Linked DNA regions of Drosophila melanogaster. The protein of the gene in region 2 purifies or fractionates together with the protein of the main gene of each other region. This does not show direct contact. Each region holds a gene or a part of one and is shown on either strand. Other genes may lie near its edges.

What was found. The genes of interacting proteins can lie anywhere in the genome.
Region 1: the proteins of Past1 (region 2) and jagn purify together in Drosophila melanogaster (affinity purification with mass spectrometry, with the first as the bait; one large-scale study listed by BioGRID). This does not show direct contact.

What each region holds. Positions count from the first base shown.
Region 1 is NT_033777.3:5,776,061-5,781,808, reverse strand, and holds jagn (jagunal), read right to left. Parts: upstream 2,495-5,748; 5' UTR 2,382-2,494; coding exon 2,293-2,381; intron 2,010-2,292; coding exon 1,637-2,009; intron 1,575-1,636; coding exon 1,443-1,574; 3' UTR 501-1,442; downstream 1-500. UniProt on the Drosophila melanogaster protein: Required for endoplasmic reticulum organization and proper vesicular traffic during vitellogenesis. Required for oocyte and bristle growth.
Region 2 is NT_033777.3:12,694,094-12,704,879, reverse strand, and holds Past1 (putative achaete scute target 1), read right to left. Parts: upstream 7,559-10,786; 5' UTR 7,368-7,558; coding exon 7,342-7,367; intron 7,050-7,341; exon of another isoform or gene 6,770-7,049; coding exon of another isoform or gene 6,762-6,769; coding exon 5,545-6,761; intron 1,242-5,544; coding exon 1,068-1,241; intron 1,005-1,067; coding exon 799-1,004; 3' UTR 747-798; downstream 1-746. Other genes in the region: NijC (ninjurin C), read right to left, coding at 7,953-8,156, 8,581-8,757, 9,474-9,509; CG14391 (uncharacterized protein), read left to right, coding at 10,133-10,540.

The sequences.
Region 1 (5,748 bases), 6.9 Mb from region 2:
TTACTTCGGTCCGAAATGGTGTGTTGGAAAATTCGGCATCCGTTCTTCGCACAGGCAATGTACAAATGGAAAATTAAGAGAGCGGGCGGAGCAGGGAGAAAAGGATGCTGCGGAAAAGCTTTGGCTCTCCGCCACAGCTTTTTCTCTCTCTGTCTCAGCTTCCTGGCTCTCCGTCGCCAATTGTAAACAATTGCGCAATGCTCGCCTGCTGTTGCTCCTCCACTCGCCTCGATGCACAAATGGTCACTAAAACTGGATTGTTGTGGCCAATTCGGCCTGCCAGCCGCATTGCAACGGCCTGTGGGGTTGTGTTGGATTGTATTGCTTTGGGCGAAGGTCCTTATTTGGTGGTGTTTTTCAAGAAATAAAGCTTGAGAACTTGTATTTGCCTCTTTAAAGTTATGATAAATATTGTAGATGAGCATATAAACATTAAGTGACTTAATAGGTATACTTATCAAAATTTGTTTTAAATCAACCGCAATAAAATGCTATGTTTAACCCACTCAGAAGAACAAATATATATGCATCTTTATTGATCGATTTTTAAAAAACTACTTAAAAATTCGAATAATAAATTACGATTTAAAAAACATCATTACATTAAAATTCAATTCTCAGTTTAGTTTGGCGACATGCCTGTCATTACACAGTATTATTGACGATCAGAAATTGAAGAACTTTGCTTTAACACTCAAATTGCATTTCAATCCTTATTTATAGTAGTGTGTAAACAGTGACAGAAGGTTGTAAATAGTTTGGGGCAGTTCTCAAACGTTCAGCACCCGGCCAGACGCCTTAAAGCATGGCACTGTGCGGTTCGATGAATAAAATTCAAAATTAACGTACTGGCAAAAATGAAACGGTTTCGAAATTTGTAGAAAAGTGAACTAATTATCAACTAGGCGAGGAAGTAACCATCCGTGGACGCAAACATAAACTGATGTACGCATATTTTCATGTGTAAATATATATATAAAACGTTTCTAACAAACACGAGGCACGTCGAAATGTAAGTGAGCAAAAATGAAGTGATCTCTAGGTTGGTTTTCAGTTTTTATTCCGACTCGGGGAAATTTGGTGGCTTCAGTTGCTTCTTGTCTTTAGTTGACCTCACAAGGCTGCGTATGTGTGTATATATGTATGTCTATGTGTATAGGTGTACATGTGTATATGGATAAGAGTCTATTTAATCAATTTGAAAACGGTATCAACTAACTTTCAACTAACAATAACCTTACCGCCGACGCTTCGCTCAGTTTCGACCATATGTTTCCCTTCCTGTATGACTAAGTGTGCGATACCTTAACAGCTGCATAACTTTAGTTTACCATAGTTTCATTACGCTTTTGTGCACTAGTGTTTTGAGTTAGTTTCAAGTTTCCAAATTATTTACAACTAGCCCTGCATTCCGGCGTTTACTAGTTTGGCGAGTATTTAGATTACTGGAACTTGCGCGTGGCAGTTCTGGCCTTCCAGGCCTTGACCAGGTTGTAGGCGAAGTACAGCGTAAATCCGTGCACCTGGAAGCCCACAAAGCAGAAGGCATACCAGAAGACGCCGTACGGATAACCCTGTAGAAAAACCGAGGTTTAGTAGGGCGGCTCTTGAGGGATTAACTGGCCCAGCCACTTACGCGCCACACAAAGATGTCTGTCTCGTCCAGCTCCACCGACTTGTCCAGCGTGGCGAACTCCCACACGTCCGAGAAGTAGTAGGCGAAGCAGTAGAAGAGTGGCAGGATGGCGAATAGCAGTATGGCCACCATATACTTCTGCATTTCGCGCACCTTGTTGCCCCTGGCGGCCGAAAGGCCCAGGAAGGAGGTGAGCAACGACGCGGCCCACACGTACTCCCACCACAGGGGCGGTGGGACCTCCAGCTCCTCGATCTCCAGCACAAAGATATCCAGGTGGTCCAGAATGTCCGACGTCAGCTTGGCCAGCATCACGAAGAACAGCAGGGCGTGAAAGAAGATGCAGTACTTCAACCTGGACTTGTTCAGCAGGCTAAAAGAGCAGAGAAAGTGGTCGTTCAGTGGCGGATCTGTGTGGGTGAGCCCCATATTGGGGCGCACATGCTGCCCAGCTGGCACTTTGCCCACCCGCCCCCTACAGCAGCAAGTGGGTGGGTGCAGCAGCTCCAGGGTGCTCCGCCGCCCTGGCTGGACGCCACCTGCGATTCGGCTGCAGTAGGTGCCGCCTGCAGGTGGATCTACTGCCACAGGCGCCCCAGTAATTAGATAATTTCGAGTGTAGCTGAGAGCTGGCGATAGCACGAAGTGTTATTAACCTAATTTGATATGTGCCAGCTACGCGCTGCCTGAACTCGAAGTCGTTGCCATCGGTGCCCGCGACCATTGGTCCGCCGCGCGTTGCCATTTCGTTGCCTTCGTTCGTGGGTCGTGTCGTTCGCTCACGTCGTTGCTTATTTTTAATAAATAATTGCACAAAAAATAGGGCTGGCACTAGAATCGATGTGTGTGCGATACCATCGCTGCCACCAAAAAACTGGCGCACATCGATACGCTCCTCGCTACCATCGATTACTTTCGCTTGAAAGCATAGCAAATAACCGTTAGAAAGAGAGGGGAAATTCCGCTAAGTTTTAGAATGTTCATTTTCAGAAAGTCTGCCATGGAAACTATTAATACATCTGCATGGAAACTGTTTACAAAACATTAATTAAATTAAATAATTAGCCTTTTAACTGTATTAGCAACACGTGATTAGTCATATTATTTAATTATTTTAACTTATTCTATTACAGTTATTAAACAGTTATTAGTTTTAATAAAGTGGCAATGTGGTCGTGGTGACTAGCTCCGCTTAGGGAAATTTTAATTGGGAGGATGACTTCGCTAGGTGTGTAACCTCGCTAATGCTGTGTAGAATAAATGTGTTATACTTACATACGTAGAACTTCAGTTTTTCTCTAGTTAGTTTCGGCAGAATGTAGATAGATATTCGAACTAGTCGCAAATGAGAACGATTTTTTAAAGGTAATGCTGAGAGTTTAGCATTGCTAATCTGAAAAGTGGGCTGGTGAAAAATAAAACCAAACCTATTCTTAATGGCATTAATGGCACTTAATACTTTAATTTTCATATCTTTTTTGCACGATTTTAGAAAATGAGGGCTGGTTTTAATACTCCGATTGAAATCTTCCATCCATATGAGAATTATTTCTACTAAAAGTACAAACGCTAGACTAAAATGAATTGAATTGCATTCCAATTCCAATATGTCTTATAGACCAAATGGCAGAACTAGTAAGATTTAGTAATGATTAATGATTAATGAACGGGTCGCGATGAAAAATATTACTCGTAGATTAAAAAAGAAGTATTCTAGATTCCTTTTTCAACGAATATGTATCAGGTGAAAGGAAGTGTTTTTCGAGCCAATAAAGCATATATTGGTAAGGAACACTAGCCGAATCGAACTGGCCATGTCCGTCCGTATGCACGTCGAGATCTCAGGAACTACATATATAAGAGAGATTAATTTAGTTTTATTGCTATGTCAGAAAATGTTGAAATTCATGTTTGAACTTTCACTAGCAGAGAAAGGAGTATCTAATAGTCGGGGAACTCGCCTGTAGCGTTCCCTCTTGTTTTAGTTTCTCCGTACCTTGTTTTTGAATTTGAACTGCAGTTCCAATTTTTCGAAGCCAATAATGCCTAGTGCGTCAAGCCGAAATTATCATAATTGGGTGCAAGTGCTCTTTGATGGGATTATGCAAATTGGATGCAGCTTTGTGTCCCAATCAGTTTTCCAGATTGGAAGCAGTGGGTGTGTCCGGCGGACTTTCGGCGCTCTGTCAACTGGCCAGCACCTGTTGCACCGAAATCCATAAATCAATCTGCCACGAAACAAGAAACAAGCGAGGAAAAGCCAATCTGCGAAAATAGAGAGGGCGACGACGTTTAAAAATAAAATAATGAATTTCCCATTTCAACGCACTCTCTTTATGCTCGCTACGCTACAAAAGTCGAGCATTCGGCCCGGGTGTGTCATCAGTTCTACGGCGGTATTCCTCCGACTTGGACGCGTTTTCATCGCATGCGATCGTCTCCGGCCGAAAGTCGCGTCTTTCCCGCTCCGATTTTAATGTCAGTTGTTGATAATTTCCGCTCGAATATTTATGCTGAGCTCGGTGGCTGACACTTTCGAGTCCAAAGTTGAAGTTGCGCCATAATTGCGATTCGGTCCATAAGGTAATAGACCAGAATAGTACCATCACAATGAGTGGCACTTGCATATTAATTGCATTTCATCGCCGAGTCTTTCTTTGTTTTCGCCAAAAATGAAAACACATACGCGGCAGATTTCATGACTTTTGGGGCCGGGACCTCCACCTCGAATGTTGCCATTATATATATATATATTTTTTTTTTTTGGCAAATAATGCTATATGAACTATAAACCAATTGGTTAACCCTAAGAATAGAAATAAAAGGAATTCGGCTAGCAAGATGGCTCCTGCATAGATTGTACTTGCACTAGCAACTAGTATTTGGTATTGGTATTGGGTCTTGTTGATGTCCACTGTATTTGCATATGATTCGACTTAGCGTGTGCCGTGCGATATTTGCTTAGTTATTACAGACTTAAAACCATATCGATCGTGTGCCTTAGATAGATAACAGCCTGTTTAAAGTTCTGCCTCTTTTCATTTCAGCTGCGTTCCCCGGTGATACCTACACCCCCGCGTGACTTGTCGGTTCCCAGTATCTTCCGGATAGCCCAGTCCCAGTCACCGATCCTGAACCGCATCCAGAGCCCCAGTCCAACCATGTCCATTGCCGATAAACGCGCCTCCTTCGCGCGCCGCGCCGAATCCCTGGTGGAGCGGGTGAGAGTTATGAATACCATTTACGAGGTACCGGCATTAAGTGACCACGGATCGTGAGATCGATACTCGGTTTTGTTTGTTGCTTGCTGCCCCGCTTGCCACTAATTCAGATTTATGTTGTCAGCACTGCTGCTGGCACGGCTCGTAATTTATGGCTCGAGGCGTTAAATGTGTTTCACCCATGCCATGACACTTTCCCAGTAGAAACAACAGTCCCAGGCACAGTCAAATTCCCAGTAGCATCGATATACATACATATCTGATTAGGTACCAATGGCCGTGGGTGGCGGGGCTCAGACAGCCAGTCGGTATTTCTCGGCTGATGGTGACGCTGTTTGGCTTGGCCCGACTGCTTTAATTAATCTGAAACACTCGCGTACGTTGTGCACATCGCCTTAATGAGTGGGGCCAAATTGTGCTCGGATCAAGGTCGTCGGAAGTGTTCCCTATCACAAGACCGATTGCCTCCTATGGGCATGGTTACACCCGCCGCACAAATGTGTGTGTGTTTCTGAAGGGCAGCTCTCGGTGGTCTCAAATCCATGTACGAGTATGTATGTTCTTCAGTAGTTGGAATGGCCTTTTGGCCGGCAGAACAAACTAAGGCTATACTCGTAGGTGGCACAGGTCACCACGGAGCATACAGCTCTTTAGTATTAAAGAAACCTAGATTGGATGATCCTGATCCTTATAGGGCACAAGAACGATCAAAATCAGTTCGGCTTGCTACCAATGGCATATTCGCACTCGCGGGGCATAAAAGAGTCATTGCTCCACTGTCTAGCTAAAAATAGGTGTCCCCATGCAAATAGCCCCCAAAACTGCGCGGTCATCGTGGATGTAGCAGTGGCAGTGCTTATGCTTCTGTATGGGATTGTATGGGGACTCAAT
Region 2 (10,786 bases):
ACTTCCAAAATAGTTTCATTTTATTCTTTTATACAATTTAAAAATCAGATTAGTTTCACATTTAATATTATTTAATATTCAAGAATTCACTAATTACAAAATAGTCGAAGCACAGGCAGTAAATTGCACGTTTCTCTTTCAAGTGGCCTGCCTTGCGGGAGCATTTCAAACAATTAATAATATTTCAAAATAAATACAGGAAATACATGCCGTAACCCACGATTCCGTCGATTGTAAATTTGTAGTATAACAAAAATACATTTATTGTGTATCAAAAGTGGTACGATTGCAAATTAATGGCCCTTCAAGCTGCACATCGACATTAACCTAGATATTGTATACAGTTTAACTCATGCTTTTTTCATTGGCATTGAACAATTGTTTATCCACACTTCACTTTCCTTAAGTCAACAATGACAATTAGGCGCTTAACACACACTCCTTGTCTTATTCCACTAGGCTGCTACTCTACATCCTGCTTTACAATCGATTATCCAAAAATATGCTATATGCTTGTGTAAATTCTACGAATTTATGATTGATATCTCATACGGTCGGTCATACGGTGATACGGTGTGTGTTTTAATACCCAGCGCATTAATGGCGCGTTCACAACGAGTATAGTACATATAAAAGGGCAGTCGCCTGCACTGTGTGGCTAAAAGTCAAAAGAATCGAACATAGTGCATCCTAGGAGTTGGTCTCTATGCGACATCTGTGTACGGCTGTGTTTTTTTTTTTTTTTTGGGAATTGTGAGGCTGTGTGATCGGGTGTGCGTATGCGTATGCTACAGGACACTAGTCATAGCGCTTCGACGGCGGTACTAAGTGCTCCGGCAGCACGGTGGGCAGCTCGCAGCCTTCCAGCTTGACGTTGATTAAGTGCAAGGCCAGCGCGAACTCGTCAGAGTCCAGGAACCCATCGCCGTCGACGTCCGACAGTTTCCAGATCTTGCTGAGCACCGAGTTGGGCAGTTTCGATTTGATGAGTTCCTGCTTGGCAGCTGCAAGTGGCGAAGAATGGGATTATTGTTTTCGATTTTCCCCTTGAGTTATAACAAACTTACTTGCACCGGATATCTTGCCATCGACTGGTCCCAGCCCATTGAAGATGCCATCTGTGCGCGGCTTGTCCTTGTTGCAGATCCACTCGTGCTCTCCGTAGCCGGCATCGATGCCCTCGCCCTTCATGTAGCCGAATGGTGAGACATGGTCGTCGATGACTCCCTCGAAGGCACCACCTGTGGAAGAGGCGATGAATGGATGGAGAGGTCAGTGTGGCATTCGATACTCTGTGTGCGCCATAAATTTGCATTAATTAAGCATGTAATCTAAGTTGATCGGTGCGTCGCCGTGCACAAACATTCAATTTGAGGCAATTAAAACCTTTAGATCGCTCTGGCTCCAATTGACGTCGCCGCCGCCGTTCCGTGACTAGGCCGGCTGACCGACTTAAGCATGTACTTTGCCGGCTACTTTAACTGGGCAATTGTGGTGCAGTGCATTCTGGGGGGGGGCAATTGAGATGGGCGGTGCAGGTTGTAAAGTGCGATCTCAATTAACTTTTTGAAGTTGCTCAATTCGTTTGCGGTCTCTTTGCAATTGAAAAGGGCCCTCCGGGTGGCATGGCTTGGAGATCATTGAGTTCCCATTCCATTATTCTAAGTAAATCAATACTGTATATTCAATCGGTGCCACTGACTTATGGAATCAACTACTGTGCGTGTTGCTTACGGCCATATCAGTCCCTGTCCCCGTCTCCGGCTCCGCCTCATTTTCAACTTCAGGATCAGGATCTGGTTTGGTTTCTAACTCGAAGTCAGAGCCAGACTCATGCTCCAGCTCTGCCTGAGGCATAGATTGCGTTTCTGGACCGGGATCGGCATCCTTATCGCTCTCGACATTGCCCACCCGACTAGTGCAACTGCTGAACAGGCGGAGCTGCTGCTGGCGCAGATTCTGCAGCCAGCGATCGAAGCGCTCCGCGAACTGCTCCCGTTGCGAGCCGGGTGTCAGAAGAGCTGGCTCGTCGGCCACATCGAAATCGTCGTCGGAGTCCACTTGGGTATGCAAGAAATAGAGAGAAAGATGGTTGACAGTGGAGCATAGCACAACTGCTAAGTGCGGCAGTGCGACTCGGACGTGGAAATCAAACCGAGTTTAATTAGTGGGCCAATGGCGAAAACGAAAAGTACGAAGAACCAAAAGAACGGCGAACAGAAGAACTGATTTCTGCAAGATCGTGTCAGATATGTGTACAACTATTTAGCGACATACTGCTAAACATGTGATGCCGATCCCCATATTCAAGATGTGCTGGTGATGAAGTGATGGTGACGGTGGAGGCAGTGACTCAAGGCACGGTCCACATAAGTTCCATTTCGAATGGAGTGTCAATTCCATTGTCAAATCAACCGAAACTATGAAGACATCACTACCCAAAGCACTTATCTTGCTGGCTGAGCTAGCCAAGTCAATTATCCAAGACAATACAACGGAAATGCTAGCAAATGAAAGCAAACTGTGCAGCGAACGCAACGAAAATAAAATCAGAGATACAGATACAGATACATACACTCATTCACTCACTCACTCGCCCATGCACTAAATTAGAGCCCCAAGTTCTTGACTTTGATTTCGATTCGGTTCGCTTTATCAACGCATTCCGCCTCTCTTTTTCAGGGGTACAACCATCGAAATTCCTTCTGGTGTAATAATAAACGAGAAGTTCATTCACTTGTCGGGTCCAATTTAAAAGGAGGGGGCTATCGAATTTTACCCAAATCGAATGTCGAGGTGACCGAGACTGCGGATGGATGACACATGCGTTGAGATATTGATCTCCCACCCATGACATCAGTCGATCGCCAATCGTATTATGCTTGGATTTGCCCCAGCGAAACGTATTTGCTCGGCTATGTGGAATACTTTCGCACAAGGTCAGGCCAAAATACGCTAATAGTTGAATTAAAAGGCCACTCAAGTGGTCAGCAAACCAAAAGGCAAACAGTAGAGATCAGACAATAGCATTGTGGCGACTGGATTGCCACCGAGCCGTATATCATAGAGTAAAATGCTTTCTTCCTGCACTTAGCGCTAGTTCATCTGAATTCCGTGGGCCCCTTCGTGGAATTCACGAGCGGATTAGACGGAGGATGAGCCACTTAGTGCCACACGCCCCAAGTCACAATCGGAGAGCATCAAATTGATACGCGGCCTCAGGTTGCCAACGCCAGCAATACATGTACTCGTATGCGACTGCAACCGGTTCGGTTTACAGATCATATATACGTACATATGTATATAATCGCCAGAGGTGGGTTGTGGCGATGGGTTGACCAGGGATCGTCTGGGCGAACTGGGCGTGGGGATTATTCTGGGTGCTGTTTGATCAGCTGGACGACAATCTCTCCTCCTCGGAGGCAGCACATATTGGAATGTATATATACATATGTATATTTACTATTCCAATTCTAAGTTGCCTGGCATATTGGAAGATAATTATTTTCGTTCTCCTTGTCTGGCGGCTTTGTATACTGAATTAATCCAATCACACGCCTTTCCGTTGTAGTTTTATAGTGTTTCATTGGGCACAACACCATTAGCTGGCATGATAAGGAGCATTGATAAATGGCAAGAGAATGCTGACAGTGCCTTCTACTCGCACGATAAAAAAAGGTTTGTGCATGCAAAACGGATGATTACATAAATGAGCAATCAAATTAGTTACTGGCTTTCCATATAAGTTGCTTGCTCAGCAAGCAATGATCCCTAAAGCTGAATATAATTACAAGTTTTACGGTGGACAACCTTTGAGCCCCTCATAATATACATATGCACTAGTTCTGATAATTTCGGCTTTTATTGTTTGAAATATGCCAAAAATTGCACGGCCAGTAGCCGCAACTTGTTGCCTAATTACGCTAAACAGCGTAAGAGCAGATAAACAAACTAAATGAGCATACTTGATGCTTGAAATTAGAGCAGTGCTAGTAGAGGAACATGCCCAGACTTTTGTCGACTGATAAGACATGATTTGATGATGGCATGCTGACTCGGCCTTACATTGATTTTTATCTAGGGTAACGTGCAGTACGGCCAACTAGAAGTTGCCTAGCAACCCGATAAGGGTTGACAAACAGGCCACTTTGGCTCGACCCACTAACGAATGCATGGGGGAAAGCGAACAGGTGCGCGGCACTGGGCCTTGAACTCTGGGCCACGCACGAAGGTCGGAGGTCACAGTAACAGGGCGAACCGGTGGAGCAGCCAGCTTGCATCGAATCGAATTAGACTTTCAATTAGGGTTTACTTTTTTCCGACTGCAATGCGACTGGCGCCTCTAGACTCTGATTAACTGAGTTACTACTACCACCTCCTACTGCTCCTCCTCGAATGCTCAACGCTTAAATGCGATTATATTGCTGGGCGTTTTGGCTCGGCATCGAGTGCGTGGTATTCGTCATGGTTGCCTGGATGCGTCTGCTCCGGAGAGCCAGATCCGATTCAGCCTGGGTACTCGAGTGTGAAATATTTATCATGCCCAACTGTACGCCTGCTATTATTTTCTTTTTTCCCCTCTCTGATGACTCATGGCCCAATTAGAACGAACCCTGCACTGCTCCAAGCTATCGGTATTTTCCAATGATTACATCATGGCCACGAATCTTATCACGTTGCGGGGAGAAAACAGTCAACTTGGCTGAGTTCCTACCCATGACGAAAGCAAGCCGATAATTATTGACACATATGAATAGTAAAATTTTTCGGTTTGCCACGCCCCAGCCCGCCACTGGCGCCCATTTTTCAAGTACAAAGCAATTGGCTATCACATTTTGGGTAGCAGAGTATTTGCAAGAGATAGGAAAGAAAATACGTGGTTTTGTGGCGCTATTTTCTTCCACCTCGATGTTGAGTTTGCCACAGAAAGTGCGTTTGTGTGGCTGGCCTAAGCGCTAAATTGACACCGACTTTTTGCTCGCTCGTCTTATCAGTTTTCGGTGCTTATCACTTTGTTTATATAGTAGCTCAAATATGTTTCGCTCATAGTATAGGGTTTATATATAGTCGTTGCCAGGCATTGCATAATTGGCCAGTCAGCGAAAAGAGGAAGCTGTGCATGCGGGCCAAAGAAAAGCTTCGATTTTTGGATCGCTCCCACTGGCTTTGTTTTTCGCTGGCAATTTGAATTGTGATTGTAATTGTATATCCATTAAATACGTTTGGCTGCGGTCTAGCTGTAGCTGTGGCTCATACTTTGGCCGTATCCGAAGCCAAGCCGCTCACTCCGCTTGGCAAAACTCGTTTTTTTCGCATTTTGGCCCGTCTGGAAATCTGGGTTAACTGGCGCATTTTTCTAGCTGCGCATGCGCAATATTTCGGTGCGATGGGAAAGCGAAAACGCGCCAGTGAAATGCCCGCGGAAAACCAAGAGATTTCTCGAGATCTTCGCGGGCACGAGTCGGATGTCTGGTTGCCCGAGCAAGTGCAGTGTGACTAATGCGGCAAAGCGGTGCTTAATCATTCACTCTCTTGGGGACTTACCCTTGACGATTGGGTCCGCGACCATGGTCATCTCCTCCTGGGGAATCATCTCCATCAGGCGGGCAATGTCCTTGGCCAGCATGTTGTCCACGATGTCCAGCAGATGGGGCTTGAGGGAGTGGAACTTGGTGAAGTCCTGGTGCTGCAGGACCTCCTGCATCTTCTTGATGTCGGGGAAGTCGCCGGGAGAAATGGAGTGCTCGCGCTGGATGCGATCGTATACCTGGCCGAGGTTCTTAATCAAGTCCTTCTTCTTGCTGTCCTTGCCGAACACAGAGGGCATGTCCTTGCGCAGCTCGGCAATGATGAAGGCATGCACCTTGGCCAGGCGCGCCCGCTTGATCAGATCGTTCAGCTTGCGCAGGGCGGCGTTACGCGGCAGGGACTGCAGATCCCTGAACAGATCCTGTTCCTCGTCCTCGAACAGTCGGCGGTTGGCGTCGAAGCGCAGCGGCTGGTCCCAGAAGGAGCCGATGTAGACACGAGCCACCTCCGGCGTCTGCAGCACCTTGCCCAGCGACCACATCAGTGCTCCGTACACCCGCATTAACTGTTGGTGATCAATCATGTCGGCCTTGTTCAGGATAATACGGATCTTGTCGTCGTGTCCCTTGAGCGCCTCGATCGAGCGCCGGAACTCGTCGGAGATGTCCAGTTTGTGGGCGTCGAAGAGCAGGATGATGCGGTCCACGCGCTCCGCGAACCACTCCAGCACGCCGGTGAAGTCGTAGCCCCTGTCGATGCGCTGCTTTTCGCCGGAGAGAATTCCGGGCGTGTCCACGATGGAGATGGCGTTCAGCACCGGCGAGGCCACACTGCTGCATTGGAAGCGATTCAGGAAGGCGTTGCCGTACTTGGACAGCGGCCGGAACTGCTTCTTGGGGTCCACAACCAGGGCGTTGCCCGGTATCACGCCCTCCTTGTCGTCGTACATCACGGCGATGAAGCGGTCCGTCGTTGGCTCCGGACCAATTCTAATGCCCGGAAAGTCGCGTTCCAGCAGATAGCGGATGAAGGTCGTCTTGCCCGTGGAGTACTGGCCCACCAGCAGGATCATGGGCTTCGCATCGAAGTCTGGATCCTCGAGCTTTGGCGAGTGAAAGTCGTGGAACTGGTAGTGCTCCTCCAGCGGCAGCAACTTGCTCCGATAGATCTTCTTCAGCTCGCCGATCACATTCTCCACTACCTCCTGGGTGTTCTTCTCGCGCTTCAGAAAGCTAAACATGTCGCAAGACTCTAATATTAGCCACCGAAATTAAAGGGGAAATTGGATTTGGAAACGGGGGACGCGGCCGGATTCGGGTTGGTGCTGGCGCGGATGTCACGGAGGCGACGACTACGGCAGTTATGTTATGTGTCTACACTCGATTGTCGCGCTGCGCTGGGTCGTGTGGCGAGTGATTCACGCGCGTACGTATACGTATTATTTTTGGAATACGACTTTTTTCGGTCCAGATAGCGGACCAATCAACGTGACCACGCCAGAGACAACGAAGAAATACCACAGAGTCTTCGGATAAATACTGCAATATACCAAGAGCGTCAAAGAAATACCAGCCCGTCAACGGCCTTAATTTAAACTAATTAATCTAATTTTGAAATTATACTCATATTTATCGTAACTAACTAACTATTATTCCTGTACTATATTTTTCGCTTTAAAACAAATTGTCATTGACAATGAACATAAATAATCGGCGCCTATCGATAACGGTCCACATTTGCGCGGCGGTCACACTTTTCTTGCAAGCGCGAACTTATATCGAATTCAAATTGTGTAAATATAGGATTGCTCACCTGTCGCCTGCTTCTGGGCGTGGCATCTTGATTTATTAGTAAGCAAATAAAACGTTAAATTTACGGGCCTTCCAAAATATATGCAACAAACAACTGTTAAAAAGCACTAATCTTTTGTTTCTGTGATTTTACACTAAAACGCGGCTAGCATTATCACTTAATAGAAATTTGCTTTTTTTTTGGTAAAAATTTATATATACAATGTGGCAAGCAAGTGTATTTAAAACACTGAGCCTACGTCGTTCATCAAAATTTAACCTCAGCTGTGATTTCAAAAATTCAGGGCTTCAGAAGTTCCACATCTGTGTGAGGAACCGCCGGATCCAGTCCAAAATTCATCTTCATGATGTCACAAAACACGGACAGGAATATGAAGGCATCTATGAAGTGGTTGATGGCGAAGCCCCGATTTCGATCCTTGGTATTATGCATATTGATGAGGGACTGAATGACCAGCAAGAGTCCAGCAGCCACCTGTTTGCGAAGGTAAGAGAAAATGCAATGCCTTGGTATCAATACATTCATTTATTTCCCTCTACAACTTAGGTTTGCATTAGCCTTAAAGTACATATTTGTATGAATATAAGTGTAAATCGTTGGATCTCTAGATTTTACGGTGTCTTTTCGTGCTGATCGAGAAGTCGGAGCGGCTGCGATGAGTACTCTATGCCGAAACCGGATATGATAACGTTCACCACGGATATTATGAACACGACTACCAAAATGACATCGTTCAGGATGACCGCTGCCGTCTGATCCTGCTGCCTGTTTATGTTGAGACTCCCGATGACCACGAACAGAATGCCCACCAAAAGCTGTCAAAATGGGGAATGAGGAATGCATTAGAAACGGAAGCGTACAATCCCTACCATGCCCACCCTCTAGTCCTAGTTGTTTAGAAAGTCGCCCTGTGGCGGAGGCAATCGACTGTCAAAGGCCGAGATGAACAGATTGATCATGGTCGTGAAGAAGGCGAAGCCCGTGCGCACATGGTTAATGATATTGGCCGACTGATGAAACTCCGGCTGATGCAGCCGGCAATCCCGCAGCAGGCTCAGGGACAGGCTCAGCACGCCCGACAGGACCTGCACAGAGAAAAACATAACTATCAGTTCCATATTGTCATTTGGATCTAGCCAAGTTTTTCCGAGTGTGATGGATTTCATTAGGATACACATTTATGTTTTTCTCTGTGCCTGACACTTAGAGAATAAGAATCTACAGTGATTATATACTCACCTGCATGACTATGGACAGACTGATCAGGATCAGCATCAGCTTGTAGAACTGGTGCTGTTCGCCCACCTGGAGGATGTACTTCAGCTGCGAGGCATTGGCGGTCAGCAGGGCGATGTCCAGCATGCCCTGGGCGATCGTCTTCTTGGTGGCATACCTATTGGCATCCATTGCCTTCATCTAAAATATAGGGTATATATGTACATATATGAGTATTTGAATTCAGGATATAAAGTCTGCAGAACCGAAAGATACATTTTCGAGGAAAGTGGTCATGATGGCGCTGCAACAGTCACTTTAAAAGTGAATGAATCTTAAAGATCGCTTTCAAAGTAATTCCTTATCTATTGCCATTTGTGTCAGATCTTGTGCCGATAAGAAAACAGAACATCGCAGCTCCGAGTAATGAAAAATAGGCTAACATTCAGGGCAAGGGTTACAAACACAAATGTGCATAGTAAATAAAAAGCATACATCATTGAAAACTAACCTGCCAAGCATTTTTTACTGGTTTCTGTGGGGAAACAAAGGATTCAGCCATACTGCAAGGATAATTACCACAAAAGGATGCAATTCCCATAACAATTACAAAATCAATATGAGAACAAATGCTTTTCGCACAGCTCATCGCAGTTTAAAAGTGCATAAGGCCAACGAGTCGGATATACAACATTTTTGAATTGCACGAACAGTTGGAACAAAGACAATAATTACCCGGACTGGCAATTACGGATGGAATGGAAATGGGGATGTGGACACGATGGTGTGTCTCATTCGCTCGAACAAATAAATAATTCAAGACCAGGAATATATGGCTAAGATCAAGGTCGGTGGGTGCTCGGAATGTGAATACATTGGAATATCTTCAGATATGAGATATTTGTATTTTGACTTACCTCATTTTCGTTAACCCGCTGCAAACCTGATGCCATAATGAATGAATCTTTGGTTTTTCGGTTTTGCTTTCGGTTGGAGCTTTGTTTTTCGCCACACACCACTGCACTTTGGATCAGTTTTTGTGTCAGTCAAAAGAACTCACAACAACATTCAATTCAAGTTGTTTCGGTTTTCATTGTCTCCTGAAATTGGCAACTAATTGTTTGTGCTTGGAGCGGCGTTGTCGTGGCGACGGTTGCCGACACAACCAAGCGATTTAACAACTGGCGGAGAACTGAATTCAGAAATCCCGTCCAGAGAGCACTACCCGATTCGAATGATTCGGCCATTCAGTATACTTGGCCAGAAAGAGAGTGCTACAAGCTGGAAAGAGTGTTTTTGAGTAGCCATGACTAATGGCAGTGGTTTGAAAATGTATTGATTTCATTCAGCATGTTCTATATGGCTCATATATCCTTTGGTAGAAAGACCAGTTCTTACCTTTAATTTATGTCTTTGATGATATTTTGAGTTTATTTTATTTATATTTCTTATTTTGGTTTGCATCACAGTGAGCTGAGTCTCTCACAACAGTACAATTTACACACAGCTTTAGTTAGGAGTTTTAAAAAAGAAATTTAAATATATTTCGTTGAAAGATTTATAAAAAAAAAGAACCATGGAATTTGCCATACCAGAGGCTCAGTACTGGGACGTTTCGAAGAAATCCCAAAAAGATCGTCAGATGATTCGTAAATTCGTGCCCGAGGCGGTCGACCTGGCCACCATAAGTCGTGCAGAGATCTACAGGATTGACACATTCTATTTGGAGTGCCAAAAGTACCGGGATCACTATCGTGACCCCTACGGCAAGGTCCACTGTCCGGCATTCTTCCACCTGCACAAGGGCAAGTGCGGAATCAAGCTGGACCAGAGCGTCATCAAGATGACGCAGGCGATTGCCGCAACTGTGGACCGGCAGCCCATAGTTTTTCCCCTGATTCCGAACAAGAGCATGTTTTTGGGTGGTAGCATTCCCATGGGGTCACAAACATCCCAAGTTGGCGTCACTAGCTATCTCAGATGAAGAAAGTACAATTTTTTTGATAGCTAATGTATCCGCGGTAGTGTAAAAAATCTTTCGAGCAATAAGATATTACTATCTGTTAGGTACATCCAAATATACAATAGCTTGTTGAAATTTCTTGGTTTATTGTTTAAGAGTTAACCTGGGAAGGAATTATCCGCAAGTGAATTATAAATTTTAGTACTTTATTTTCTAGGCTGGGAAAGCAGTTTCAATAAATAGCATTTTAAATACTTTGCGCCCTTG